Caenorhabditis elegans: one gene and its partner. The protein of the gene in region 1 interacts with the protein of each later gene in a pairwise test. Each region holds a gene or a part of one and is shown on either strand. Other genes may lie near its edges.

What was found.
Region 2: the proteins of cdc-48.2 (region 1) and ubxn-6 interact in a two-hybrid assay, tested with the Caenorhabditis elegans proteins (one study listed by BioGRID).

The regions. Positions count from the first base shown.
Region 1 is NC_003280.10:8,128,809-8,144,236, forward strand, and holds cdc-48.2 (Transitional endoplasmic reticulum ATPase homolog 2), read left to right. Parts: upstream 1-9,687; 5' UTR 9,688-9,702; coding exon 9,703-9,774; intron 9,775-9,822; coding exon 9,823-10,148; intron 10,149-10,194; coding exon 10,195-11,170; intron 11,171-11,222; coding exon 11,223-11,941; intron 11,942-12,000; coding exon 12,001-12,340; 3' UTR 12,341-12,422; downstream 12,423-15,428. Other genes in the region: ulp-4 (Ubiquitin-like protease 4), read left to right, coding at 1,201-1,348, 1,398-1,579, 1,744-1,845, 3,482-4,030, 4,079-4,246; ctns-1 (Cystinosin homolog), read right to left, coding at 6,071-6,196, 6,438-6,668, 7,054-7,344, 7,392-7,632, 7,683-7,874, 7,966-8,099; ints-11 (Integrator complex subunit 11), read right to left, coding at 12,478-12,831, 12,878-12,961, 13,008-14,238, 14,290-14,420, 14,463-14,489; rpl-10L (Large ribosomal subunit protein uL16), read left to right, coding at 15,076-15,321, 15,370-15,428. UniProt on the Caenorhabditis elegans protein: ATP-dependent chaperone which probably uses the energy provided by ATP hydrolysis to generate mechanical force to unfold substrate proteins, disassemble protein complexes, and disaggregate protein aggregates.
Region 2 is NC_003282.8:4,801,004-4,816,431, reverse strand, and holds ubxn-6 (UBX domain-containing protein 6), read left to right. Parts: upstream 1-6,944; coding exon 6,945-7,481; exon of another isoform or gene 7,482-7,963; coding exon 7,964-8,365; intron 8,366-8,414; coding exon 8,415-8,525; intron 8,526-8,578; coding exon 8,579-8,842; 3' UTR 8,843-9,006; downstream 9,007-15,428. Other genes in the region: srw-94 (G-protein coupled receptors family 1 profile domain-containing protein), read right to left, coding at 944-1,070, 1,116-1,394, 1,579-1,797, 1,853-1,947; srw-95 (G-protein coupled receptors family 1 profile domain-containing protein), read right to left, coding at 2,403-2,444, 2,495-2,624, 2,998-3,245, 3,323-3,449, 3,497-3,775, 3,937-4,155, 4,203-4,303; eif-1.A (Eukaryotic translation initiation factor 4C), read right to left, coding at 4,752-5,017, 5,065-5,349, 5,397-5,496; H06H21.37 (uncharacterized protein), read left to right, coding at 6,468-6,641, 6,737-6,884, 6,935-6,948; H06H21.11 (uncharacterized protein), read left to right, coding at 9,140-9,222, 9,276-9,624; dpf-5 (acylaminoacyl-peptidase), read left to right, coding at 9,864-10,150, 10,739-11,054, 11,107-11,616, 11,942-12,387, 12,436-12,580, 13,046-13,449, 13,496-13,601; dpf-7 (Dipeptidyl Peptidase Four (IV) family), read left to right, coding at 13,884-14,699, 15,131-15,277, 15,328-15,428. UniProt on the Caenorhabditis elegans protein: Probably acts as an adapter for ATPase cdc-48.1 and/or cdc-48.2, conferring substrate specificity. Involved in the lysosomal clearance of cellular material in diet restricted conditions.

The DNA of each region.
Region 1 (15,428 bases):
GCCCATTCGGCCCATTCGTCCTCTCCTCAATCACCCCCGTCTGCCCTCGTTCTATCTCTCCGTCTCCACTACCCCCAGGCTGTTGAGCGGCGGCGGCGACGGTGAAGGCCCCCATCGGCCTGGGGAGGGAGAAAGAAGGAGGAGAGGACGGCAGTTGGAAAGAAAAAAGGTCTCTCCTTTTCCCTCCTCTCGCTGTCGCCCTGTCGCTCGATGCCACATGCAGTTGGTTTTACCGTTCGCTCTCTGTCTGGTTTTTTGTTGTATTGGCGGGCGCGATACAAACGGCGAGGCGCCAAAAACAGAATTTGAATTAGCACTGCTGTTTTAAAACGAACAAAGTTTCGACATTCTACGAAGTTACTTGGCATTTCGTCATATCTTACCAACCGTTTTTCTGTACGAATAGAACAACAATGAGATGTTCACGTGCTTCCTAAACATCAATATTTAAGAAGTGTTTCATTTGTTTCTAATAGCCAATCATGTGATTGCACCTGATCTGCGCTTTTAACATTTGTTTGTTCCAGATTGCAGAAGTTTCAGTTGTTTTCAAAGGATCCGTCGATCTAAATAGCAGAAGGATGATGCATGCGGCAGCATGCATGATCTTGTTGTTACTGGTCATCATACGCCCTCAACATCAACTTCAAACCAAGCCGTATTCATCGGGATATTCATCACTTTTATATAGAGTGTAAAGTATTCAATATGTATGTTCTATACTCAATAACCCTGAATTGCTTGTATTAATACTGTCATACTGATCGATTGACAGTTTTCTTATCTTGGTTGTCGAAGATTGAGATACATTTGTAAAATGGCCTTAGCAGTTCCCATCTTTCACTTTGTTTAGTGAACTTGCCCGTCCTTGCCGTACTTTTCATCCGAAATACCACCTGTTGGTTATCTATGACGCCACGCCATCCTCAATTCCGAAAATATAGGTCGATGCAATGTGAGTCTGGGACTCGGAGCCATTAGTTTTTTAGATTCTATCTCTTTTACATTCTTCGATGCACTGAAAGAAGATTGATCTTTTTTGATATTTCTCTCATTTCGTTTTCTGATTTCTCTCAAAAAGTTGTCATTTAAACTCTTAATCTTCTATCGTTTTCTATAATATTTTCTTTCTATTAATTTTATTTTTTCAGAATCACCCTCCTTATATGTATTGCACGTAGTACATGAACAATAACAGATATGGAAGTGTCAACGTCTTACTGTACGCCGGCTGTCAATTTCAAATATGGCAGTTTTCAAGATTCAGATGTCTCAATGCGAGAAGATGACCTATTCCGGATGGGGAGCTACAATTCTCAAGGGTACTACGCAGACGGAACTCATCTAGGTAATTTATCAAAAAATGTGATATCTTAAATTTATCAAAATCTTTTCAGATGGTTCTATCGGAGAAGAGGATGAAACGTCTTCAGGAAGTAACGATCAACACATGGATTTTGAGGAAGACGATTTCGATATGGAATCTTCAATGACAGAAGATTTGGTGGACGAAGATGAAGAAGAAGAAGACGAGGAAGATAATGACGAATGGACAAATCAGAAGCGGACTGATAATCAAGTGGGTTATACCTTCGGGAATACAAAAAAATGCGTATTGGTCAGAGCACTGAGCAATATTCGATGATTGGTGATAAATATATGTTATTATGGCTCCTCCTCTTATAGCCTTAAATGTCATCTGATTTTCTGAAAAGTTGAAAAACAAAACGATTCCTTTTATAGAATAGCGTTGCATATTACGCAGCTATGGAGATGCTTCGAATCCGTTTCCCATTCCAATCAATAGCCATTCGAATTTCGGATTTTTGCTGTCTCCAGGAGAAGGTATGTAATCTGCTCTTCACTATTTTTGGATTATACTTGTGTACAGCTACTCTCAAACATAAGAAGGCGATGACTATTTGCATACCCTTTTGTTGTTTTTGTGTAGGTCGTCTGCGTCTCTTACTATCTCCTATATTTCAACACTTGTCTAGACTTTCCACAAGATTTGGGTCCATTTTTATTAGACTGGGGGTTGTGAGAACAAGGTCTCTATCCTCGTATCTAGTTAATCGGTCTATTTTGAATAAATTTGCCGATTCAAAGAAAGGAAAAATCCGGAAGGCGAAAAAGCGCGAAGTGCACTTTAAATGCACTTTCTCAGTGAAATACACTCGCCCACCACACTGCCCAAACCTTTTTTATGCTGTGTCTCCCAGCGAATGTGTATGTTGCGGTTTTTGTTTGCCTTGCTGGCGGAGAAACAGAGGAACGAACTTGTTTGCGAACTTCAAAAATCCTGAATTAGTTTGAGAATTTTATCCGATAAAAACAATAATATTAGAAACTTGAAAACAAATTAAGTAATTAGTATTTTGGATTTCAGATTTATCTAGTTTTCAAATTCACCAACTATTCTTTTGTTTGTTATCGGTGAAGACACAGTTCCCATTTTCAAGATAACAAATATCCCGCGAGAAGTTGTTTGTTGTGCAAAACAAAAATTCATTGAGTTTTGACGAGAAAATTAGTGAAGCGGTGGTGGTTTTCTGTCAACATCCATTCTCACTTCATGGTCTCAACTCCCCATCTAGAGCGGTCTGCTTCTAGTACTCAAGGGTTATGCGCACTCTCTTTTTGTCTCTAACTATGACTACTAGCAGATCTTATGGCAGCGCGCCAAAAAGGCGAGAGTTCGTGTAAAAATAGGAGGGTGTTCGGTGCCAGGTACGTGAAGCGCGGGCTCAGCCGCGGGGCTCCGGGCGCGCAGAGAAACGAGACAACAACTGAATTCGATGTGTGCGAGGAATTTGTGTGTTGAGCGAACTGAGATGTTGGCACAGCGCCAGCCAATGAAAAGAAGTTGTCGTGGAGTGGGGGAATAATCTAATGCTACCTTCGCATCATAACATGTAAACAAAGACCGTTCGAGAACAATTCGATTAATTTCATCCAGATGACAAGGGTCGCCGTCTAAATTCCTTTTCCGATTTTCGTAGACCTCCGATGTCATCGTCTTCTTTTTGTGTGGGCAGCTGCGACAGTTCAGGGTCATCTGGTAGTAATAAACTGGTTTTTTTTTCGAATCGCGCGCGCAAATTTTTCGCGCACGCACCTCCCATACTCTTGAAGAAATTCAGATGATTGAAGGATATCGTAAAATAATGAGTAACAAGCAATGTAATTTAGTGTTGTGGATTATGGGGGAAGACCGAACGGCGTAACTCGTAGATGAGCAGCAGCAACTGCTGATCTTTGATCGGCTATTCGAACAAAGGAACATATTGTTACAACAGAAAAATGCGCGAAGAGGTCAGGAGAATATGTTATATTAAATTGACGAGTCGAATGATTCATTATTTAAAGTTCAAGTTTATATACATTCTGATGTAGTACTGTAGTACAATCTCAAAAAAAAGTCTGGAGAAACCATTTAAAATATTTTTGATTCACAAAATTCATTAGTATATTTTTTCAGGATCTTCTCAACGATACGATGATCGACTTCTATTTGAATCACATTGTTGAACACGTACTACCAGACAGCAATGGTTCAAATGTCACTGTTCTTCCATCGATATTTTGGCATAATCTTTCTTTACGGCAGCACGCCTTTGATTCTGAAGACGAGAAGATGATGAGTGATGAGCAAAAGATGGATCTCAAATTCGGCGATTTGCATGATTTCGTTGCTGATTTCGATCTCCAAGATTTTGATTACATTGTGGTTCCTGTAAACGAGTGGGAGCATTGGTCATTGGCAGTCATATGTCATCCGTTCACTGCTCAAGCTCGCACGGTTATCTTTGATTCGCAGCTCACTGCGGATCTTAACAACCTACAGAACATGGCTACATTAATCGAATCATTCATGAAGTATTCATACGAGAAACGTACCGGAAATGCTATGCCTTTTCCATTGCCGTGCATTTTACCACAAAGAATGCCTCAACAAACCAACAATTTCGACTGTGGTATTTTCATTGCAGAGTTTGCTAGACGTTTCTTGCTGAGCCCGCCAAAAGATGTAAGTTCATTCTTTTTGACTGATCGTTATAAAAAATATTATGTTTAGCTCGACAACTTCGACTTTGCACGAGAATATCCAGATTTCTCAACGGCCACGAAGAGAACTGAAATGCAACGAGTTGTTCTATCACTATCCACGAACAGAGCTCGTTGGCGTCCGCTTGTCGAATTGCTCAATGGCTATAGCACTGCCGCACCTCATCGTGCACTTTAAGCATATCCTTCTGGAATGCATACTTTGTCTCATATGCCCCGGTTCTTTACCGTCCGTCTTCCATTTCTCATCCCTTCCTGCCGAATTCTCCCACTGAAAAGTCTTCCGAAGAACTGTTTCTCTGATGTCTGAAGGCTTTCGTGACAAGGGAACCTTTTGTTATATTAACCCATTTTCACTCAAAAAACCACCAAAAATTTTCAAAAAATATCTCTCCATTTCATTGTTGACCCTTGTTACTCTGTTTTCTTCTCCTTATTTCTGTTGTTAACCACATTCACTTTTTTCTCAGCTGATATCCGTTCATCATTGTTCATCGTTGAACTATTTATTCGGCGTTTCAGTTTCCCCGTTCCCGCCCTTCACCGACTTCTAGACACAAAACAGGTGTTCCGACAATTTGCGAGTTTATGTTTCTTCGTTCCTTTACGATTCCATTCTTTCCGACTGCGCTTATATATCTGTAAGTATTCCATCGTTGTGATCAGTTTTTAACTTTTCTCAACAATAATCGGTTTACCTATAGTATCACGTCACCTCCATTTCTTCCCTTAACACCTCCATTTTCATTGAATTCAAATTCATATCCCAGCTTTTTCTTCACCTCTTCCCACTTTACTGTTGCCTGCCTTAATCCCCTTCTATCCACCATTTAGACACTTTCCTTCAACATGGAAGATTGGGTTTTCCGTGCCCAAAACTCTACGTTCACATGGGTTTCGTTGTTTCTTTGTTCCAGCTTGTAGTGTGAGAGATTTGTGTTTCCTTCAAAAAAATGTCTTTAAGGTGAGTGTGGAGAATGATGATGATTTTTTATGAATTTTAAAAAGCTGAAAAGTATTAATTAGTGAAGATAACTGTTTTTATGCCTGGTAATTCATAAGATGACATTGTCTGATCCCTCTTACTTTTCAAATTTTTTCCATACCCTTGCAATCTGTACATTTTTTGTTGGGTATCTAGCATTCAAATACTTGAAGATAATTTATGTCACGAAATTCCATCACAGCGTTGCTCTCTAATGACGAATCTTGTTTCTGTTTTAGTAGTTATTGGAGATCAGCGCTTTCTTTTCAAAAGTCGTTGACAAAATGTCCTTTCAAATCTTGAATGTTGGTGCATTTCATTGTTATTGTAAAAAATATCAAGTCTCCCGCTCTCTTTCTCGTTCGAATCTTATGTTTTTCTTTCGTTTTGAGCCAGCTACCATCTCCCTGTGCTTTCACCCTCTTGCTACACTTCTTTAATAGTTTTGACTGTCGGATCCATGACACAAATTCCAAAATATATTTGGTAATCGAATATTGAAAAGAAATCAAGAACGACATTTCTCAAAAATTCATTTTCAATCTTCAATTGTCATTTAAAATTTTGGTGTCCGCTGGTTTTCACATCTTGTTATATTTATGATTTCATTTTCTTTTTTTGTTTTTTTTACTAGCGCCTCGGTTGATTGGATGATATGGGTCGTATCGTTTTTCTACATTTTTGATTTGATAATATTATTTTTGTCAAACTTCCATGTTATTCGTTCCTACCGTTTTTTTCTCCCGTTTTCCCAATTTTTATGTGGTTCTCTTTCTTTAGATTCATAGGGTCTGTCCTCATATTGTTCCAAAAAAGCTCTTCTAAAAATCGTTCCATGTTGTAAAAGATCTTGAGCAAAGGCAATAAACTGTTGATTAAAAGCTTAAAAATCTTATTTCTCACTGAACAAGTTTATCACCGTAGAATCAATATTATTCAAATCACGATATGCAATAGAAATTTTGAATATGTACAACAAAAGGCACCGAGGAGGGCAAAGAATTTGAATATTATGATCTAGTCATGTACAATAATAGGTTCCGTTGACTCCATCGATTCACTGTCGCCGGCATATTGTTCAGCATCACGAGCAATATTGTCTGGATTGGGATTGTCAACACCATGATATTCATTGTGTGGAACCTTCAAAAAGTTATATTATTTAAAATATCAGAATTCAATTAATTTTTAAAGATTTAGTAATCTAACATAAAGTTGTTGGTAAGTAATTATTTTTTGAATTAAAACATATAGAAACATTCAAGGAACCTGATCATAACTATTAAAAACGACTCGTTTCCTGATTTTTCTTTGGTTCCTGAAATTTTTTGTTCTATTCATAATTTTTTAAAATAATTAAAGGGATAAAAACTAATTGACTCACTTCTGCATTTGGATACAATACATAATGTTGAACCATGAAAATGATGTCAAAGAATATTGAGACAAATCCCAGTCCGAATTTGACGGGATTCGCATAAAATGCAGACCAATCGTTCACATTAACTGCTTGAAGAATCATTTGAAGAATATCGAGAGTTCCTCCTGTGAAATCTAGCATGATGTTTCCGATTGACCATCCAACTGTACTTTTTCGGGTATAGTTGAAGTAAGCCTGAAATTATTTACAATTTATTTTAGATCACTTGTATTTTTTAAAATTAATTTTCAATAGTTAAATATTTTTTGATAATTTCTCTACGATTGGATAAAAATATTTTCGATTGAATAAAATTATAATTTAAATTAACATGTTTTCGATAAAACATCATTTTCCCAGCTTTTTTTCGTGAATTTTTGATGACGATACAGTACTTTTTAAGGCGCACAACTTTTTGAGTTAAACAAAATCTGTCGTATCGAGACCGGATACCGTAGTTTTGGCGCAAAATTTCGCGGTCAAGTTTTGAAAACTTTTTTGGAAAAACTAGTAATTTAAAAATAATAAAAAATAATTTCAGGCTAGAATACTGTTTACAAATGGACAATATGAAACAAACCTGTGGGAAATATTTACAGCAGGTTACAGCCATTTTTATGTACGACAAACTGGTCACAAACGAGAGCAATTGAATTTTCCTGAGAACCGTGGCGGCAGCGGAGCAGAATCCAAAAGAGATCAGCACAATCATAAGGGCGATACATTTTGAAGAAACACTCTGATTATCACGTTCATAGAATAAACATTGAAGAATTGTGATAAAGCAGGCAAGAAATGCGTGAACAGCGAACACAACATCGTTCAAAAGTACTGGTGGCGGTGACCGAGGATTCACAATATTGTATTCATTCTGAAAGAAGATGAATTAATTTTAGTTATTTATTTTCTAGTTCTCACCTTTACATGACTATTATAATACATTAACAGATTGAAAATAGCATATGCACAAAATCCGACAAGGTTCAGAGATAAGAAATCGAAGTTTAGCCCGACGACGCTTTTTCTTTTGAAATTCAGATACATTTGGGGATAAAACGAAATACTCCATGCGAAGAAGTATGTCCATCCAACAATTTGAATCAAAATGGCAAGAAAGTGAGAGCGAATAACTGTGATTCTAGCAAACGCATCTTCAAGACTGGAAATGAGTTTTGATTTAATTTTTACAATATATAATCATCGACTCACTCCAGAGGACAAGTAATTGACCCATCTGTAGTACAATTGAGAGCTTCTAAAATAGCTCCGGACACCAATTGGCTTCCTAAAACTGTCACATTAGCATTCCAATTGTCAACGAGAATAGCATCAGGATGGGAGATGTATGGTGACTGCGAGAGGGAGATACGTGTTGCGTTCAATGATTGTGATGTGTGGTTTCTGAAAATTATATTGATTGAATACAGCACATGTTCGTATGATTGTTTTTATTTTATAACCTGTTGGATGAAAAATATTATTAATAACTCACTTGATCTGGAAATTAACAGAGACTTCTCCTCCAATTACAATTTCCAATTCTTTCTGTCTAACAACTAAATTATTTGTCGCAAATGTGAATGGAACCAAGAAGAGAACGAGCAAAAATGCCACCGGGAAACTCATTATATCATTCTGGAAACAATTATACTTCAAAAAATGGAAGCAAAATATAAAACAGGAGTTGTGAATAGAGAAAACGACGCTTTATATCATCAGTTTTGGCATTGAAATGAATCAATAACATAAATTGAGCGAGAAAAAGAGAAACAGCAAAATAGTGAAAAACGAATGATTGACCGAGAGAACGGGGGAAGGTTGGAATTTTTGTAAACAAACGAGGGAAACATCATGTTGAAAACATATATATACACATTTTTTATTTAATGCGTCGGAATATTCAGAAAATCGTTCAGATCATCGATAATTTTTATTGATAAAAGACCAAAAATCCAGTTTACATGAGGAAAACAATACACTGTGAATTTTAAAGAAAATTAAATATTCCAAAAAAATTTAATTTAATTTGTAATTTGGGAAACTGAAACAATAAAACACTATCGAAAACTTAAAAAAAAACATGGATTGAAGCTCAAAAAAACTGTTTTAATGTTTCGTTTTGTAGAACTTTAGATTTTTGTAAAGCGGGAGACACCACGAATCCGCAAGAAGTTTCTTCCAGAAGCAGATTCGCTGAAAAAAAATGAAGTTGTCTTAAACCTGATGCTTTTTTTTGATAATTTTTATACATTATGTGGTTTCCTGGTTGGCCATTTTGTTAAAATCATTATTTCCTGTAATAAAAGTCAGGCGTTCTCAGTTATTTCCAGATATCGGATTCCTAAAATAGCTGAACTCCAAAAAACGGTCAAGTCTCTGAACACCAAACGCGCTCCTTCGAACAAAAAAAGCAGCGCGTACGTTTAACGAACAGTTTTTTCTTCTAGAAATTGTTTTCTCATTGCGCAATGCATTGCTCATTATAAATAATTATGTTTTAAACAGTTGCTGGGAGGTTTTCGCTATCTCAGTCGTTGTTAAACAATTACCAGAGTGTGTTATCGTATTTATCTTTGCCGTATAATATCTTTTCCATATTTATGCGATTGCGGAAATTTACCACTGACTCTGCGGAAACTGCGGAAATTTACCACTGAAATATCACTCATATCGTACGTTTCTTTGAATTCGTCTCCTTGTTATTCAAATTATGTCTTCGTTTTTGAACGAGATATTTACCTCTAGCTTTCTAGATCGTCACATCACTTAGGTTCGCCTTGAACTTCTGTTCCGCTAAAGACGGCTGGTTCACATATATTTTTAACAATGTAATTATTACTTATGACCCGAATAAAACGGTAGAACGCTTTGTGAAATTATTCGAAAGCAAATGCGCCCCAAGGAGAGAGTGTGAATGAGAGGCTGCGTTTTGTCATCATGTAGAGGCAGCATTGGGGTGTTCTGTAGAGAACTTAGTCTACGTGTCTCATCTTCCATATTTCTTAATTTTGTTCTATTGGCTCTTTTTGCATCTCTTCTTTGATTCGATTCTTTAACTGAATTAGATCAGAAATTATACTTGAAGTTTTATCTTGAAAACCTACTGTAGAAAAGTTTGTCCGTGTTCTACTTTCTTATTAGACTTTCGCGTTTCGGCCTTTCCTATGTTCTACCCCCATCTTCCGTTCTTTTTTATTATTCCAAGATTTTACAGAGAAGTCGTTTAACCATGGCCTCAGTTCCGACTCAGAGAGACGAGAAGGAAAAGAAGAATGATGAGCTGGCTACGGCTATCTTGAAAGTAGGTTTTTCTCCAAGGTAATCATTTCAATATAATTAACTCTTTCAGGACAAAAAACGCCCAAACAGACTCATTATCGATCAGTCTGACAATGACGACAACTCCATGGTCATGCTCTCACAGGCCAAAATGGACGAGCTGGGACTCTTCCGTGGAGATTCGGTGATTTTGAAAGGAAAGAAACGAAGAGAGACTGTCTCTATCGTTCTTAATGCGGACAATTGCCCGAATGACAAGATCAAGATGAACAAAGTGGTTCGAAACAACCTCAGAAGCCGTCTTGGAGACGTTGTCAGTATCTCAAGTGCTCAACTCGAATATGGAAAAAGGGTTCATGTTCTTCCAATTGATGACACAATCGAGGGATTGACTGGGTATGTTCTTGCCACGGAGAAATAAAGACTGTATTTTTTATTTTAGAAATCTATTTGATGTCTTCCTTCGGCCATACTTTACCGACGCCTACCGCCCAGTGCACAAGGGAGACATATTCACTGTTCAAGCTGCAATGAGAACTGTCGAGTTCAAAGTTGTCGAGACGGATCCTGCTCCGGCGTGTATTGTTGCTCCAGATACTGTTATTCACTATGAAGGAGATCCAATTAAAAGAGAGGAAGAAGAGGAGGCTCTCAATGAAGTTGGATACGATGATCTCGGAGGTGTTCGTAAACAACTCGCTCAGATCAAGGAAATGGTTGAGCTCCCACTTCGCCATCCCCAACTTTTCAAGGCTATCGGAGTGAAACCACCACGTGGAATTCTTCTGTTCGGTCCACCAGGAACCGGTAAGACACTGATCGCAAGAGCTGTCGCCAACGAAACAGGAGCATTCTTCTTCCTCATTAACGGACCGGAAATTATGTCTAAAATGTCTGGAGAGTCGGAATCGAATCTTCGTAAAGCATTTGCCGAGTGTGAGAAGAACTCACCTGCTATTTTGTTCATTGACGAGATCGATGCGATTGCTCCAAAGAGAGAAAAGGCTCACGGTGAAGTCGAGAAGCGTATCGTCTCGCAACTTCTCACACTTATGGATGGACTTAAAACTCGCGCTCATGTTGTCGTGATCGCCGCTACTAATCGTCCTAACTCTATTGATGGAGCCCTTCGTCGTTTCGGTCGCTTTGATCGTGAAATTGACATTGGAATCCCTGATGCTGTTGGCCGTCTGGAAATTCTCAGAATTCATACCAAGAACATGAAATTAGGAGAAGACGTTGATTTGGAACAAGTTGCAAACGAATGCCACGGATTTGTCGGAGCTGATTTGGCTTCCCTCTGCTCTGAGGCTGCTATTCAGCAAATTCGCGAAAAGATGGAGCTGATTGATTTGGAGGATGATACAATTGATGCTGAAGTTCTCAATTCTTTGGCGGTCACTATGGAGAACTTTAGAGTAAGTTATCATTTTTTTGCACTTAAGAGACGTATCATTAATCATTTTTCAGTTCGCAATGGGAAAATCATCCCCATCTGCTCTTCGCGAAGCCGTTGTGGAAACTCCAAATACTACTTGGTCCGACATCGGAGGTCTTCAAAACGTCAAGCGCGAACTTCAGGAGCTCGTTCAATACCCTGTAGAGCATCCAGAAAAGTATCTCAAGTTCGGAATGCAACCATCTCGTGGAGTTTTGTTCTACGGTCCACCAGGATGCGGTAAAACACTTCTCGCTAAAGCGATTGCCAATGAATGCCAGGCTAACTTCATTTCCATCAAGGGACCCGAGCTTCTTACTATGTGGTTCGGAGAATCCGAAGCTAATGTTCGCGACGTGTTTGATAAAGCTCGTGCTGCCGCTCCATGCGTTCTCTTCTTTGACGAACTCGATTCGATCGCAAAGGCCAGAGGAGGAAGTGTAGGAGATGCTGGAGGTGCTGCCGATCGTGTTATCAACCAGGTTCTCACTGAAATGGATGGTATGAATGCCAAGAAAAACGTGTTCATTATTGGAGCTACCAATCGTCCTGATATCATTGATCCAGCTGTTCTTCGTCCAGGACGTCTCGATCAGTTGATCTACATTCCTCTTCCTGACGAAGCATCTAGACTTCAAATTTTCAAGGCCTCACTCCGCAAAACGCCCCTTTCCGCCGATCTCGATTTGAACTTCCTTGCCAAGAACACCGTCGGTTTTTCGGGAGCCGACTTAACCGAAATTTGCCAAAGGTTTGTTATAAAAATTAGTTAAAAAAATATTCGCATTTGTCAATTAATACCATTTTCAGAGCATGCAAGCTTGCCATTCGTGAATCAATTGAACGGGAAATTCGTCAGGAAAAGGAGCGTCAGGACAGAAGTGCTCGTGGAGAAGAACTTATGGAGGATGAACTGGCTGACCCAGTTCCAGAAATAACTAGAGCACACTTCGAGGAGGCAATGAAGTTCGCTAGACGTTCCGTGACTGATAACGATATCAGAAAATACGAGATGTTCGCCCAGACTCTTCAACAATCTCGTGGATTTGGAAACAACTTCAAGTTCCCAGGAGAAGCTCCTTCTGCTGGACAACCTGTTGGAGGAAACGGTGGCTCCGGTGGAAATGACGATGATGACCTGTACAACTAGATTTCGCTAAAATTGTTTTATTCTATTTATTGTAAATGCATCCTTGCGAGGGTATCAAATGTTCTCATGAATGTTAAATTTATTTCCAACTTTTACAAGTAAAAAAATCGTAACCGTAAAAAGTATTTGTTAAAATCTTATGCTTTAACAGAGATAGCAGGAGGGACCGGGGAGGATTCGGGTGAAATGAGATCAGTGATGGCTTTATGGATAACCTTGAACCACTGTTCACGGCATTCGTCCCAGATCAGTTCAAGCTCTGTTTCATCAGAATTGTTTGCTAAAATAGTGATTTCTCCATCAAACATTTCAATGCCGTCGTCTTTTAGTTGCAAGTGTGGATCATAGAGTAGAAGCTCGTTTGATAATTCCTTCCAATTCACTTTTTTGCCTTTGATGATTTCTGACAATGAGAGAGTGATCGGCATGCAGTTTTTATCTTTTATCAAATCTTCTGATTCTGCTGTAGACATGATATTCAGTCGTTCATTCTAAAATTATTTGAAGTTATTGCAAAATAAAGTTCAATAATCTTACTTCTTGATCGTAAACGAGCTCGGCGACAAATGGGCATTCCGATTTGGCAGGATTCGGATCGAGGCTTAGGCTTCTGTCAATTTTCTGGAATTTTTTATTTGAGTTCAATTTGTTTTAGAAACACACAAACCTCAAGTGGAACTCGTATATCAAGCTTCGGTTGAGCAGAAATCACTACAGTCTCTCCGTTTGCTGGCATGTGAACAGGTACTTTGTACTCCTTTTCCACTTTTCCTTTCAAGAACTCCATCTTTGAAGCTTCGCCGTGCACAAACATGACGTGTTGAGGCTCACATTGACGGATAAGCTGCATAATTCCTTTAGCATCAGCATGAGCACTAAACGACATGTATTCCACACCAAGTCGAATTTCGTGCATCTTTTGATCAATTTCAATTTTCTTTTCGCCATTAATAACTCTTGCTCCAACTGTTCCAGCGACACAGTAACCAGGCATAATGATCATGTTCAGAGGATCTGAGCACCATTTTTTGAAAACTTTGAGCGATTGACCTCCGTGAAGCATTCCAGGAGTAGAAAAGAGAACCTGAGGTCCTGGTTGATCTTCACATCCCTTTTCCATTGGTTTGATATGCTTGAATTCGAACATATTTCTTTCTACGAAAGTTTTCTTAATGTTCTCGTTGGTCCAGCTGATGAAAAGTCGGTAATACTGATTTGCCCGTTCTGCAAGACCTTGGGAAAAATAGATTGGTACGTTGAGAGCCATTCTCTCCCAATATGATTCAAGCAGGATACACAGCTCCTGCGCTCGTCCCAAGGCAAAGACTGGAATAATTACTTTTCCTCCTTTCATCACACATTCATGAACTTTTCGAAGGAAATCTCTTTCTCTTGCCCTTTTCGAATCACGGATTGTGGTCGCATATGTTGACTCAGAAATAAGGACAGTTGGTCTAACACCAGGAAGAACTCTCGCCGCTCCAAGATGCCTATCTGGAGTCATGTTGTAATCACCAGTGTATAGAACAGAATGATCTCCAAGTCGAATTTCAAACATTGCAGCTCCAAGAACATGTCCAGCATAAAATGCACGAATAGAAAGTTCGTTGTCAACGTGAATAATTTCATGAAGTGCACATCCGACAACCTTTTTCATACAATTCTTGATGTCATCTGAGGTGAAAAAGTTTGTCTCGCCTTTGATGTCACATTGAACTTTTCGGTAATCTTCCAATAAAACTGGGCAAATGGCTTTTGTAGGGTAAGTCATGTAAATTGGTCCGTCGTATCCCACAATTTCGCTCATATGAGGCAAACTTCCACAGTGATCCAAATGAAAATGTGAAATGATGACACAATCTAGGTAATCAGTTAGTCTTCCACCTCCACCAATATACCTGAAAAAGTTATTATTTTAGATTTGAATTGAATAAGCTTGCAGAACTTACGAAAAGTCAGGAAATCTTCGATCATCTTGGTATCCCATATGCATTCCACAATCTACCATAATATTCTTTCCACCGATAGTAATAAGAATACACGACCGTCCAACATCTTGTCCCGCACCCAGTGGAACAATCTAAAATTGTATTTTTTTTCAGAAAAGTCCTTCAGAACTCACCTTGATTTCAGGAATTTTGTCGGGCATTGTGAAATATAGCTATAAAGTTCTAAAAATACTCAATTTTAGCCTTGAGTAATGAATTAATTGCAAAAAATGCCTTCGCGAAATAGGATTTTAATGAAAAATCTTTTTTGTTTGTCCGAAATTTCGAAATGAGTACGGTGCACAAATGTCGTCAATTGTTATGCTTTGTATGTAGTTCACCGACGGCAGTGAACATTAGTGTTGTCCTCAATTTCTCTTTGGCCTAAAATTTTTCTCTCGATTTTCTCTTGAAGCAGTGGATTTTTTGCCTTTTTGTTTTATTTTATACATTTTTTTCTGATTTATCATGATTCAAACGTCAGTTATTTAAAACTATAGCTCTCATTGTCTTAAATATTGCAAACGAAATTTGTTTGAATCATTTCGAAATTCGAAGTCATGTTTGATATTGTTTTCCTATTATCCACTGTTTTTAGTTCTCGAATCAATAATGCTTTGACAGTATTTCGAAATAATGATGACAATTCTTGGCGTGATGGTGACAAAACATGTTCTTTGATTCTCTTCTATATATATATATTCTCCGTTTGTCGTAATTTATTGTAGTCTTCTCAATTTTCAGAACATGGGTAGACGTCCAGCGCGGTGCTACCGCTATATCAAGAACAAGCCATACCCAAAGTCCCGCTTCTGCAGAGGAGTTCCGGACGCGAAGATCAGAATCTTCGATTTGGGAAACAAGAGGGCTAACGTTGACACCTTCCCAGCATGTGTGCACATGATGTCCAACGAGCGTGAGCATCTTTCCTCTGAAGCTCTCGAAGCCGCCCGTATTTGCGCCAACAAGTACATGGTCAAGAACTGCGGAAAGGTAAGACAAGGATTTAGTTCAATTTTTCATCCAACCTGTATTTTGTAGGACGGATTCCATCTCCGTGTTCGCAAGCATCCATTCCACGTCACCCGTATCAACAAAAT
Region 2 (15,428 bases), on another chromosome or scaffold:
ATTCGTTCGCGGTATTAAAAGTGGTGTAGTCGGATTTTTTTTATTTCTTTATTAGACTCAAAATTGTCTGAAAACACCGAATTTCATAATGAAACTTCTTGAAAACTTTTCCAAAAAAAGTTATGGCCTCTCGAAAAATGGCCTAAAATTAGTGAAAATTTGAAATTTGACCAACTTATCATTGTCGCAGCGGCTGGAAACAATTTTTTTTTGAAATTGTCGTCTAGTTTTGGGTATACAGGTCGATTATCTTGCGTTTTCAACTTTATTAAGGTATTTAAAAGTCGATGGACGAAGAGAATTGGTAAAAAATTTGACAATTCTCACTCACTAATTTTAGGTCATTTTTCGAGAGGCCATAACTTTTTCCTCAATAGTTTTTCAAGAAACTTCATTATGAAATTCGGTGTTTTCAGACAATTTTGAGTAATAAAGAAATAAAAAAAATCTACTACACCACCTTTAAGTGTTTTAATAAAGTTACCATAATAAACGAAATTGAACAGCTGTTTTTCTTGAGCACATTTCGGGGAATTATGTTTTTTGTGTTAGAGGTTTTGTGTTTAAGTTAAATTAATTCTTATCTGTGTGTTTTATGTCAAGTTGAGGAAAGATGTAATCCTCTTTGGACCTCCTTCACTTGGGTGCTTCCTACTTTAAAAACGAAAACTGCTGGTCAAATCCGAAACCACGTATTCAAATATTTTTGTAACTACACTTTCATTCAAATTTCTCAAATATTGATAGCAAAAAAGCAGAAAGTAAAAAAATAATCGACCGCGCAATTGCTTTGGTATTTCGTAAAAAACTAGAAATTTTTGAAAAATCTTCGTATGGAATCGTATTGAAAAAACAAATAAAAGGAGTCAGGAGCTATGGTAATTTTGTAAATTTAATTTATATTAATTGAACTTAAAAATGGAGGGTACAATTAATCACTTACCTTTGAAAATGTACCATTTATGAGTTGATAAACTTTTCCAACCAGCCCGTCATTGGCTGTGTACACTTCCGACTGCACAAGATTATAAATATTGAGTGAAACAGTAAAATTAGCAGACTTTGAACAACTGAAACTTAGATCAATCAATAATTATTTTAAGTTATATAATCACTTATTCAATGGCTTCCAGTCTCCAATTTTTACAATATCGTATCGGAAATAAAATATAAAAGTGAGAGGGAGACTTAGAGCAAGTGCTCCCATAAAAATGTAAGCTCCAAACTTTGAAAGTGTGACTTTTCGAAATGCACGTCTAGTTGAATACTTCATAACTATCCAGCGAATTAAAGCCATGGCTACGCTGAGCCACGTGGAACATCGACGAAAAAAATCATTGATTACTATATTAATCCAGTACATATGAAATGGTGGAAGAGATAAAGGAGGCTCACTGAAAAAATAGGCACAGTAGGTAGATCAATTGTGGAAATTTTATAAAAATTACTCCGCCAGGTTAAAGAACATAAACAAGTAGTACAAGACAATCGGATTAAAAACAGAAATAGGTGGAGCCTATTTTTGATTTTTATAAGGAACATCGATAACTGGCCTATATCTTTTAGTGGTAAACTGACCAAGGTTTCACATTAAATTCTATCATTAAATACAAAATATTATAAAACACAGAAGCCACCATTGCAAGTATATCACAAAGAGCCACTCCCATCATTATCAAAATTACTGAAGATTTCAAAATTGATTTTTGAGATAAAACGAATAAATGGAAAGATGTGGTAAAAACGCCAATAATGGAAAATACTATATTCAAGGCAATAGATGGATGAACAAAATTTCTGAAACAAAAATGAAATATGATCTGGAATTTAAGCTGAAAAAGCTTCAACTTACTCGACGGTTTTTAGAAAGTGATAAAGTTGAATTTTAGTCGCATTATCATAACTTGGAAATGCTGAAGTCGCTAGGTTATAGGTATTCTCATCCATTTTTTTTTGGGAAGAATTACCAAATTGAACGGAATAATTTTTAATCAATGCCACTTGCATGTGTGCTGTTGTTATAACAGCAGTTGTTTCACCTGTCGTTTGGTGCTGAAATTTGAAGCTTGAGCTTCAGGAATTTTGCTCAACAAAAAAAAACAAGGAAAATATTGAGTCAGTTAGTATTGTAAGCGGGGAGACCTTCGAAAAATAGTATTGCAGCCATATTAATAGAAGAAATACGGTATATAGGTTTTATAAACATGTCATTTTCTAAAAATCATTTTGTCATGAACAAGTCTCATAGATTGTTCTGTTATTATAAATATAGTGAAACCGTCATCAAATGTTAAAATATTTCACTTCATCTTTACACTATTTCAATTTGAGTTTATTTTCCATTTTTCGGAGGACAGTTAAATTTCTTTTTAAATTAAAATATCAATAAAGTGGAATTGTGATCAGGTGTAGCTAGAGCTGACTGCAATGATGATGGGTGGTCGCTGGAATAAAAATAATTTGTAACTTAATGAGCCCAAACTTTGATGGTTACATCATTCTTGAATATTTTTGAAACTGCCCTCCGATATTGTGATGACATCAGAAAGAAGATGGCGCCTTGAAGAGCCGCGTGTAGAACAAAGAAGGCACTTGAAAATTGTGCAACGGAGGTTGCCATTCTCCTGAAAATTTTGATTTCTCAAAAAAAGAATTCCCACACAAATATTTCCAATTATTCTATCACGTTATCACTTAAAATCTGAAAAAAATTGGAGTCCATCAATGCATTTGAACTAAATGTAGATCCCTTTTTTAATAGGGTTAACAAACCAGAATTATTACGGTTTCACTAAATGCATAAAATTACAGCAAAAAAGTGGAAAAATGTTAATCCTTTGAAATTATATTCGCTATAAACATGTCGTATAGTTTGTATTATCATTATAATTAAGAACAGACGATAGATTAAATATGTTTGTTTAACTTTCGGGTGGCATATGTTTTCATTATTTTCAAATATTGCCAAAATTAATTTCTAATTATTCAAACCCTCACCAGTATCCCAAGTCAGTATATCCAAATTGTAAAACACGAACAATTCCATTTGGAACTTCAATAAGAAATGTAGAAGCTGTTATAAATACGACTAGCCCCGTGGTTCTTTCTGTACTGGCAACTGACTGGGTTTCATTGATAATTACTGGTCTTATAGTTAAATTTAACATTCTCTGGTGATCCTTGGCTTTTTTGAGTTCGACAATAAGCATATAGGTTAGAACTGGAAGCAGAAAACATGGAAACAGCTGAAAATTATTTTTATTTTTAGGAACCAAAAATTAGTTCTTGGTTAATTGCTTTAGTAAAAACAAAATTATCCCACTTTGGAAATTGTTCCATTAATCAATTGATATACTTTTCCTACAAGTCCATCGTTAGCCTGGTAGACTTTGGATTGTACCAAAGTGAAGATAACACGAGATTCTGGATAACTCGTTGCAAATGTGCAACTGAAAGTGTATTTTTAATTAGGCAAAGGTTGTTAAATCTGGATTACTTATTCATAGGCTTCCAGTCTCCAATTTTAACGATATCGTATCGGAAATAATATATTACAGTTAATGGAATGCTTGATAACAACGTTCCAATAACTAAAGTGAATCCGAATTTGGGAAAATTAACTTTTCGAAATGCTCTTCTCGTTGAAAACTTCAAGACGATCAGTCTGATTGTGGCCATAACTACGCTGAGCCACGTGGATGTTCGACGGAACAAATCATTAATTACTACATTGATCCAGTACATATAAAAGAATGAAAGTGGTGCAGGTGGTTCACTGGAAGTGGAAAGATGAGTTGATTTAACATCGGGTTACAAAAGTCAAGTACTGTTTACTACGTGATCTCTTTAACTACGATTTAACCACATAGATCTTTTACTACGTTGGGTTACTGTAGTAGTACTGTGGAACTAAGCTTTTGAATAAATGTACTTTACCAGGGTTTCACATTAAATTCCAAAATCAAATAAAGATAGTTATAAATAATAGAGACAAACATCACTAATATATCACAAATAGCGATTCCTATCATTATCAAGATTACGGACGATTTTAACATTGAATTTCGAGATAAAACGAATAAATGGAATGATGTTGTAAAAATCCCAATTGATGAAATTACAATATTAATGATTATTGATGGATGGACAAACTTTCTGGAATTTGACGGTAATATTACGGGATTTTCAAAGCTAAAACTTGCTCAACAGCTATAAGAAAGAAATATAAATCAATTCTAGTCGCATTATCATAGCTGGGAAATGCAGAAGTTGATAAGTTATAAAGAAGCACTCTGTCAATCATTTCATTCAAATTCAGCTTAAAATAACTGAAATAAATAATTTTTACTATATGAATACACGTGGCCGCGAGTTGTGACATTTTGATGCAAATGTTTCACCTGCTTTTCGGTTTGAAGGTCGAGAGTTGTGTGCTGCTTTAAACCCATAACAAGAAAAGTTTATCAGAAAACAATATAAATGAAAGGAAAATAGTGGAATACGGGATAATTTGCAATAAATGAGTTGTTTCATCAAGTGGTGTCCGATGGACCGAAACCTTGAGGTTGTGTTGATCATCGGACACCACAATCGAATTATTTCACTTTGTAGCATTCAAGTAACGGAATTTCGGGAGACAGAGAAGATGGGAAGATAATGTCTGAAAAGGATCGAAAGAGAAACAATGGATTTTTAGGGGGAGAAAGAACAGAAACCGGGGGAAACAATTAAAAACCAATAATTTAATCAATTTAGCGTCTCTTTCCGTACTTGTTCTTGCCACCACGATTTCCGCCGCGACGAGTGTCCTCTTTAAATCCACGACCAGCTGCCAAGTCCTCTTCCCGAATATTGTCCGAATCATCTGAATCTTCGTCTGATTCCTCTTCAGAATCATCGTCCGATTCTTCTTCCTTATCCGATCCTGCCTCTTCGTCAGACTTCTCCGAATCACTGTCTGATGAATCTGAGTCAGACTTTGCTTCTCCGGCCTCTCCCTCGTCTCCGACGTGATCCACTGAAAAAAAATTGAACTTCATTAATTTTCAGCAAAAATAAACTTACAGAACTCAACCTCTCCCTCGTCTTGTTCATCGTTCTCATTGAGCTTGGCGTTTTCTGGGATAAGTCCCTCGTTCTTCAAACGGCGAGCTTCATCTGGGGTGTACTTCAGAATAACATCTCCCTTGTCGTCTTGATAATCTCGGAGACCGACGAGAATGATATCTCCCACGTTGATCCAAACCTTCTTCCTCAACTTTCCACGAATATGGCAGACACGCTGCTTTCCATCAAAACAGAACACTTGAACACGACCGTTACCAAGCATTTTTGAGACTTGTCCATATTCTGGAATTAATGCTTTTGTTTTTCGGGAAAGAAGTTATAAAATCTACCTTGTCCCTCCTCCTTGAGGTCGAGCTCGCGCTTCATGAAGTCGTTCTCATTCTTTCCTCTTCTGCGATTCTTTCCTCCCTTTCCCTTATTCTTCGGCATTGCTGAAAATATTACGAAATAATTTGGAAAGTTGAAGTTACGAGAAATACAGAAGCAAAGAGGACTGCAAAAATTGTAGAAAAAACAAGAACATAAATATGCATAAGGTAATGTCAGATTTCAATGGAATTTAACAAAAAATTAAGAAGAATGAGTATACTATCCCAAAATAAACAGTTTGCTTGGATTTCGTGAGTATTTTGATGAAAAGTGATTTCTAAAAATTGGAAATAATAATTTTATCAGCGCTTGAGATTAAAATTATGTCGTCAATCGACAAAAATAAACAAAATAACAGAAGAAAAATTTCAATGAAAAATCGACGAAAATGTGGAGTGCACAGAAAAGTGGGCGGGGTTTGCTATCGCAAGAGCGCGGCGCGAGGTTACGTAACTGCGGACTTGGCGACACAATTTACGACACTCGCTATTTTTATTTTTTATTTTGCTTATTTTTTATTTTTCTCTCTAAAATTTTGTTGTTTTAACGAATTGTTTTCGGAAAAAAGTTATTCAGAATCAAAGATTACTTCATAGAATATAATTATTGTCCAAAATATAAAAGAATTGTAAGATAAACATCTCAAAACGAACATTTAACCGCAAAAACGTATTTTGGGAAAACAATCACAAACTTTTCACGCAAAAGTGTTTTACCTACATTTTTTTGTAGTTTATTAAGTCACAAAATTAACGACATCATGAAAAATACAGCAGATAATATTTTTCTGTCCGAAAGCTTTCCCCAGTTTAGTTTTCTCCAATAGAAAAACTCCAAGTTTTTTATAGCGTTTTCGAGATGAGCTTTTTTTCAAATTTTCTGAAATGAAGTTTGAAGTTTGTATACAACCCAAAATATATGTTTATCACCGTGCAATATCACAAATGTCGTCATCGCCTTCTGTCCTATTTCGCAATCATTAATTTCCGCAAATCTCTCTGAAAAAGAACTACAATTCCAGCTATTCTTGCATGGGAGAGCCTCTGGTCGCCGAGCCGACAACTGAGCAGACTCCGTTGAGCACAAATTCAGTTGCTTATCAGAGCTCCGACGCGCTTCCAGATTCCTCAGAAGCATTCGGAGTAGAAAACGTTTATCGTGCTTTGATTATCTTCTGTGATAATTATTCGTTGGATAAAAAACAAGTGCGTTAGAGAACATGTTTTTGAGATTTTCGAAATTTTAACGTGAATTATTGTTCTTGTTTCTGTCTAAAATGGCCAAAATTTGAAAATTTCAGGTAGCTCTCGGACTCTTTCTTTCTATTCTACTTTTCATCTTCTCTGTTGGCACTATCATTGCGTGGAATCGATATTCACCAATCATTCAGGAGTTTATCATAAGAGAGAACATTGAGAAAGCGAGAAATAAGAGCAACGAAAAAAATAGTAAGATATTTAACAAGTTCTGCACTGATAACCATTCCAATTTATTTCAGAGAAAGAAGAATGAATAGTTTCAAGAAATTCCTCAACAAAAAGCGAGTCCAGAATCACTTCAAAAAGAGCGGTGAAGGTGTTCGTTTGTCATCCGGCGAGTCATCTTCGCAGCCTTCTGCCCACGCTGGAGCCGCCCAGGGAGGCCAAATTGATCGTGTCGCGGCCGCTGATATTGCTGCTCAGGCTGCTTTCAAACGGATGCAGAAGAATGAACCTCAACAAAATGCTGGAAAACGAAGAATTCAAATGATTGCAAAACGAGAGCTGGAAGAAGAGAGACGTCAGGTTGAAGATCTCAACATTTCTGGGACTTCATCACTGCAGCAACCCGACCGTGAGCAACACCTCGAGCATTCATCCGCAATATCACGTGTTCTCTACACTTCCGAGTTGCTCGGTGAGCATCATATTCGCTCGAAAGCAGATCTTCTTGAAGATATCAAAAATTTCCTTTCTGATCAGATCAGCGAGGCGGATGATGAAAACGATAAAGTGATTGCCGCAGTTTTGATGCTCTATTCACTTAATAAGAAACATCCCAAGGAGGTTTGTGTATGCTCAGAATTTCAAAATATCGAAAAAAAATGAACTCATTCTGGCTAAAATCTCCAATTTTGTCAACTTTTGTGTGTTGCAGCGGTCGGAAAATGTTTTTTAATCTATTGTAATAGTTTCTCACATGTTATAATAACGTTATTTCGTTATTTAGCCAATTTGATCATTTTTAGCTAACAATAGGCTAAAAAAGTTACTTTGTTAACGGAATATTTCGGCAAATTGAAGAGTTTCGCTAAAATTTGCCCGTTTTTTTTTTCTCAAAATTTTGAACCGCCATCATAGTTTTTGTGACATTTTTGTCACATTACCGTTGAAATTAAACTATCTATCCGCAAATTTCGCAAAAATCAGCGTCGCACAGAAAGAAAAAATCAACACGGATTTTTGTAAATCTGCGAATCGGTCGTTTCACCTAAACTGTACGAAATTCGTTGTTTTGGTAGAAAAACAAACAATCTTCTAAATTTCAGACTGCCATCGAAACAATCTGCAAGTATTGTCAAAACATTTTGGAACACCCAGGAGAGGATAAATACAAATCAATTCGTTTGGGAAATAAGGCATTCCAAGAACGAGTTGCATCAGTAGTTGGAGGACGTGCATTCCTTGAAGCTGTTGGATTTACTGAGAAATCTGAAGGAGAAGACAAGTTCCTTGTGTTCACAAAACCATCAGATGTTCATTTGGTGGAGGCTCTGGAAGCTTTGAAGGATGGGCAGGCTGTGCCTATAAAGGTTGCTAGAAATCTAGAGATCTTCAAGCTAAAAGAGGGGCAAAAACCGAAAGCACCAAAGTTGGCAGATGATTTTTACAATTTGTCGACTGCTGAACTCAAAGCCGAACAGAGAAATAAGGAGATGCAGGTGGAGAGAGTGAGTGGAGCTTTAAATTGAAAAATCACACAATAAATTGAATTTTTAGATGCTGACATTGCGTACGAAGGAAATGAGACAAAAAGACGAACAAATGACCAATTATCGCTACAAATATACGTTGATTCGTGTCAGATTGCCTGGAAATTTGTTGATGCAGGTATGTATATTCCAGAAATTCAAGTGATTAATTATTTTATTTTATTTTTCCAGGGAGTATTTGGTTGCCATGAACCATTTTCCGCAGTCCGTGTCTTCGTTGCTTCAACTCTTTCCGATGCTCTTTCGACATCCGAATTCACTCTTCGTGACGCTGCCAGTCAACTCGTGGAGGATGAATCTGCATCGTTGGCTCAACTCAGTCTTGCTCCAGCTGCTCTTCTTCATGTCGTCTTCGCTGAAAACCTGTCTGATTATGGACAAATCGTTGCCGATGAGCATATCGAAATTATCCAGGAGCTTGAAGCTTCCGACTAATTTTTGTATAATTTAAAAATATAATTCCCGGCTATTAGTGTGATATGTTTGTCATTATTTTTTTCCGGTACTGCTGATGTTTTATTTCGCCTAATCGCTTTCGTTGTATTTAACTTATAAGATGCAAAAAGATTCGAGCAGCATATTAAAGATTTTGTACAGAACCGCACTTTAACTGTTTCTCTATTCGTTGTATATCGATTTTTATTTTGAAAATTATTCACTCTATCAAGAAGAAGCCGAAATTCCGCCCACTGCATCTTTTTTCAGTTGTGCTTCTCCAAAAACCATTTTCAGATGTCACAGGATCCCACGATCTCCAATTTTTTAAATGGAAAACCCATCATCGCACCTGTCGGGCCATCTTCTTTATTAACCAGGTTACTTTGAAGCAATTATTTAATTTTTAAGAAAAATTAATTCGAAATTTAAGATTACAATCGTTCCTGCCTCAAATGGAAGAAGCCAATCGAAATATGCCGGAAAACGCGTCAGCTGACGCTTTTCATATTGAAAATGTCGAGGATGACAGCTCGGACGACAGCGATTCGAATTCAGAATCGATTTCGGAAGAGGTACCTGTCACAACTGACGAAAAGAGCACAGCGAGTAGTACACAGAGGATTGAAATTGATTTAGACGTGTTCAAGGAGATGAACAGCGCAGTTGATGACAGAGATGTCGGAATTCAGAATGTCGAAGCTCTTCCAGAAGCATTTCAGTCAAAAGGAGAGGATTCGAAACCGGAAATTACAAAGAAACCGTTGATTGAAGAATTATGAAATTTATGTTTTTTCTATTGTTGTGAATTTTTTGTTGAATTTGTTACTTTTTGACCTACCCCTCGAAACATTTTCTCACATTGCGAAATGAATCAATAAAATTTCGATTTTAGATTTTTATTCATTTATCTCATTGGTTTCTATCCATTTTTGAATTACCTTCCCATTTTTATTTATCTCTGCCTTTTCTAAAATTCTCCGAAAACTTTTCCGAAATGCAGCGTCTTCTCCTTCGTAAAATGTCGTCTGCTGTGGTGACAAGTGCAGCTGAGTATGATGTGAGAGCGTTGGAAAAGCTCAAGGATCTTTATGGCGATCTGGCACAAATTCCGATTCCAACTCAAGGACGAATCGAGAAGAAGTCAGGAGATGAGTTCATCAAAGTCACCACGACTTGGGATAACCGTGCCATGCAGCTGAATAAGTTGACTCGTCAGCAACGTGTCAGCTTGATTGGAAAAAAAGGACCGGAAGTTACGGATCGGTATCTGATGACGTCGGTTTCGGTGCCAATGTGTAATTATGAGTTAGTAAACAATTATTCGGAGATTGAATGGAGTCTGTGGGAATTTTGCCAAAAATAACAGAGAACAGTGACAATATGACGAATAGAACTGCTGAAATAATTATAGAATTTCGCTAAATTTTTTATGTTTTCTTTTCATTTCGCGGAAAACCCAATACTTTCTTTAGAAAACTGCATAATATTTGAGTGTCCGCGTGATGCATACACTTACGCACATAGTGCGTCGGAGAAAACGCTCCTGAATTCACTTTTTTTTTTGAATATTCCATTTTCTTCATTCTTTCAGGTATTTCATGCTTTTTTCGATTATTTATCACAAATATGTAGTTGAAATTGTAAAACTAGTTAAAATTTTCCTTCTTTTAATAAAAATTGAATTTGGGAGCGTTTTCTGTGACGCCTTTTTTGCGTGAGTGTAGACAATGCGCGGGTGCTCTAATATAATTCAATTTCAGCCAAATTGAAAAGATTCCATGATTATTTTAGCGGTTTTATTCGGTTCGTTGATATTTTTTCTCTTGGTATGAGAAAATACCCCCGGCAGACGCTACTCTATCTTTATGAATATGGAATAAATTCTAATTTCAGAAACCAAAGAAGTGTGTATTCCGCATCAAACTCCCGTGTTGCTCAACTTCTGACCATCGGAACTGGAGACGATAAGAAACAATATTTGAAGATCTACAATCTTGAGGAACATGTGGAAGAGCTTTGCGCTGATCTTTCCACTCAGAAAAAGCACGGAACAATTCACGGTGGTGGTTGTATGCCGTTCGGATGCCTTCACTTTTCGTACGGGGAGGGGCATGTTTTGTACGTGGCTGAGAGAAATTCGAAAACTTCGCAATACTTTGATGCTGATATAGAGTGGGATAACGAGACGAAGGTTTTCGAAAGCAAAGTGGTATAGATTAAATAAAAAATATAAGTTTCGATTTCTAGAGAATTATTTGCAGGGCAAGAAATTCGAGCTCACCGAGTCATGGGGAGAGCAGAACGATGGTGTCAAGCAGCCGGTGATTTGCATTGTCGACATCTCCAGTGGAAATGTGACAGCTCTCGATCAAATTCCTGCGAATATTTCCCCATCCTACACGAAATGGGCTCCAGGAGATGCTGGCGTTGTTTTCTTTGGCCTCGAAGAGCAGGACACCCCACGGCTTGGCAGAATCTACTGCAACAATCGCCGTGGAAATCTTTACTACTATGAGCTTGCGACCGCAAAGCTGACGAAGATCAGTGAGGGTGAAATCTCGGCTGAAGAATTGCAATTTTCGCCCGACGGAAATACTTTGGTGTGGTTCCAGAGAGCAGCAGATGGACCACATCAAGCAGTTCTTGAAATGGTAGCTGTTGAGTGGCCATTGAAAGTAGATTCTGCTGAAAACATTGAGAAGCGAATCATTGTTCCGATTGTGAAGGAGAAGAGATCTGCAGACGAATTCCAGGGATTCACATTCCCACAGGTACTCAGGCAACTCAAATCTAATATGAAAATATTAAATAGCAATATTTTTGTAGTAAATACGAGAAATAGTGCGTCCATATAAGATTACTAAAAATTTCGAATAGATTTCGATTTTGTCTCAAAAGATTACTAATTTGTCTCAAAAGACTGTGAACTCATCTCCGAAGATTGAGATTTTGTCTCAAAATATTGAAAATGCAAAAAACTGCTTCATCGAAGATTTTTGGAATTAAAGTTTTTTCCTGTATTTCGATATGTACATGAGGAAGGGACAGAATATAAGGCAATATAATTACCGATTTTTCAAAAATCAATATTTACAGACAGCAACTCGTTCTTGGTCTACTGATTCCAAGCGTCTTATCCTTTCAAGTTCCTGGTGCAGCAAGTTGGAACTGCTTTCCGTTAACATCGCAACTGGGAACATTGAAAAATTAACCAATCACTCCATATGCCTTGGAACTTGGTCTCTTCTTGATGTCTATGATAACGAAGTGCTCGCAGTCGTCTCTGCTCCGAATCGCCCACCAAACGTTCTTCTGGGACAACTTCCAGGGACAGGAAAAGCCGAGGAAATGGTTTGGGTGCGAATCGACGAGGCGAAGGCTGTTGATAAACGTCGTCATCTCTTCGAGTTCTCCTGGGAATTTGTGAATCTTGAGCGTGACGGAGCGACTTACGAAGGAATTCTGATTGTTCCAAATGAGGGAAACAATCTTCCAATGGTTGTGAATCCCCATGGTGGACCTCATGGTGCATCCATGGCAAGGTGAGTTACTTTTTCCCTTTTTTAAACGTTTTTCATTTAAAAGTTCAGCTGGCCACGTCGGGATCTTACTACTCTTCTCAACTCTGGATATGCCGTCCTTCAAGTCAATTTCCGTGGATCACTCGGATTTGGTGACGATTTTATTCGTGCTCTGCCTGGAAACTGCGGAGATATGGATGTTAAGGATGTTCATGTAAGGAGAACATTTTTTTAAAACTTTCTCTGTGTTATGGCAAGACTCAACCGGATGTTATAAAGCTTCAAAGTTCCGAAAATCAACCTCTTCGCCCGAATAACTTGAATTTCGCGCAAAAATTAACCCACTTACCGATTAATTTATTTTTCTGGAATTTAGTCGATTTTTCGTGTTTTTATATTGAAAATTTAAATGTTTTCTGACAAAACTTTTAACAAAAGTCAAAAATAATACGAAAAATCGTTTTTAGATTCAAAAAATGAATAAATCTATCCGCTGAAAATCCATGAAACACATTTACGCGCGAAATTTAAACAACGATAATGATTTTCGGTAGTTTGAAGCCTTTAAACATCCGTTTTAGACATTCTTGTGCTGTTTTGCATATCGTTTTGTCAAAGAATTTAGAACGTTTATTCGACTACACCGCATGTATTATCAATGTAATTAATACTAATTCAGAACGCAGTTCTCACCGTCTTGGATAAGAATCCACGTATTTCTCGAGACAAGGTTGTACTCTTCGGAGGATCTCATGGAGGGTTCCTGGTGTCTCATTTAATTGGACAATATCCAGGATTCTACAAAAGTTGTGTTGCCTTGAATCCAGTCGTCAACATTGCCACAATGCATGATATCACTGATATTCCTGAATGGTGCTATTTCGAGGGAACCGGAGAATATCCAGACTGGACAAAGATCACGACCACCGAACAACGGGAGAAAATGTTCAACTCTTCGCCAATTGCTCATGTGGAGAACGCAACTACTCCGTATCTCTTGCTCATTGGTGAAAAGGATCTTCGTGTCGTTCCTCACTACAGAGCATTTATTCGTGCTCTCAAGGCTCGTGGAGTTCCGGCAAGGTATTCTTGAAAAATTGTTTGCAAGAGAAATTGTTTTTTTTTTCAGGGTTCTCACCTACCCACCATCGAACCATCCACTTGATGAGGTCAACGTTGAGGCCGACTATGCAATCAACATGGTCCGCTGGTTCGAGAAATCACTGTCTCAGTAAATATACTAATGTCTATATGTATTTATCTATTCATCGGCTGCTTCTTTTCCTGCCCCCGGTATTTTTTCATTCATTTTCCCGTGATATTGCCTTGTAAATCTCTTATATATGAACGGTTTGTATATTCTGGAGGATTTCAGTTTTTCAACGGTTTTGGTTTTCCCATTTTTAATTATTTCTAGTGGAATTTCTAAATTGAACATCTGAAATTCCTAGAGATTTCTTACATTTCTTACAGGCAGTCAATATTTAGCAGCTTCATCATATACGTGTACAACTATAATGTCTACAGACGAGGAGGTCCCGTTGGCCACTCGTCAAATGCATGAAGCTTTTGTCACAATCTCACAACAAATGCTTCAGTTCCGGGTGAATACTGCACGTATCACAACTCCTTCCGATTACGAACCACAAGAAGTTTGGGTCATTTACGAGACATTAGAGTGCCCAGATCAACGGCAATACATGAGATCACGTGGATTAGTGTCGAGGAATAAACTTTGGATGTTAATGGAAACGGAAACGGATAAAGATTGGAAATACTTCACCCATATATTTTCGGATGATTGTAAAGTCTGCGTATTCGTAGCAGAATCCATAGAAATGGGTCACGATAAGGATGTTATTCAAGTAGAAGATGTTCAATATAAGAAGGCAAAATTCACGGTAGCTCTAGTTAAATACGTATATCATGGACCTATTATTGTGACAGGACCAAATGCTCATTTCAAACTTTCTCGAAATAATAAAAAATTGCTCTACTTTGCACTACCAAATGAAGAACAAAAGGAAACGCAGGGACGTGGTGAGCGCCAATTTGTGATATGCATCTTCGATTTCGATGCGAAAGGAGTTACAGTAATCACTGATGAGAATATTTGTAATCAGACGATCACAGCAGTCGAATGGACGCCTGATGGTCGGGGAATCGTATTTCATCGAGGACAAGACCTTCTCTGGCACAGATTTGGAGAGAAATATATAAATGAAATATCAACGAATCTATCGGCTCCGTTGAGGATTACTTTCTCGCCAGATGAAAGTCGAATGGCTGTATTTCTACGACCGAATATTCACAATGATGCTGATATTATTTTGGTTAGATATAGGAAATTCAAAAGTAGACTAGACACAAAATGTGCCTAAATGAACAAAAAATATATCGAAAATAATCGAATTTTAGCTAAAATCTCAAATCTAAGTCGCAGCTGTCTAAAATTGATTTTTACTTAATTATCATCATTTATTGCAAATTTTGGTAGTTTACCGCACGTGTTTTGGTCACTTTTGGCTACCTTTCGGCTTTAAATATGTCAAAATTACCGAAAAAACGTGAGATAAGCTATAAATATATGCAATATAGGCCGATAATCGAATAAAAATTAATTTCCACATTAAAATTGAAAAGATGGTAGGTTTAGCTAAAAATTTGCTAATTTTTCAGAAATTAGTTCTTTTTTGGCAGATTTTGTATCTATAAATACCCAAAACTGTTCTCCTTAAACAAAACTAATTTTCTTCGTTTTCAGTTCCATTACCCATTTGTAAAAGCTGCCGTCCAAGTGAGACATGACGTGCTGAGACTAGGAAAATCGAAAGTATGGAGCGTTCCCGATAGGCCGTGGGCTTGCAATGGAAAGCATTTATTGTTTAACACGAATTACAAGAATCAAGTGGTAACAAATATATTCGATTTAATTCTGCATTAAAATAAATTTATTTCCAGAATAATTTGGCGATTCACGTTGAAAGTTTAAGAACCACGTGCCTTGACTTGAAACGGCCTTCACTAATTATTGATGTTCGAGGCGATGAATTCCTTTTTGA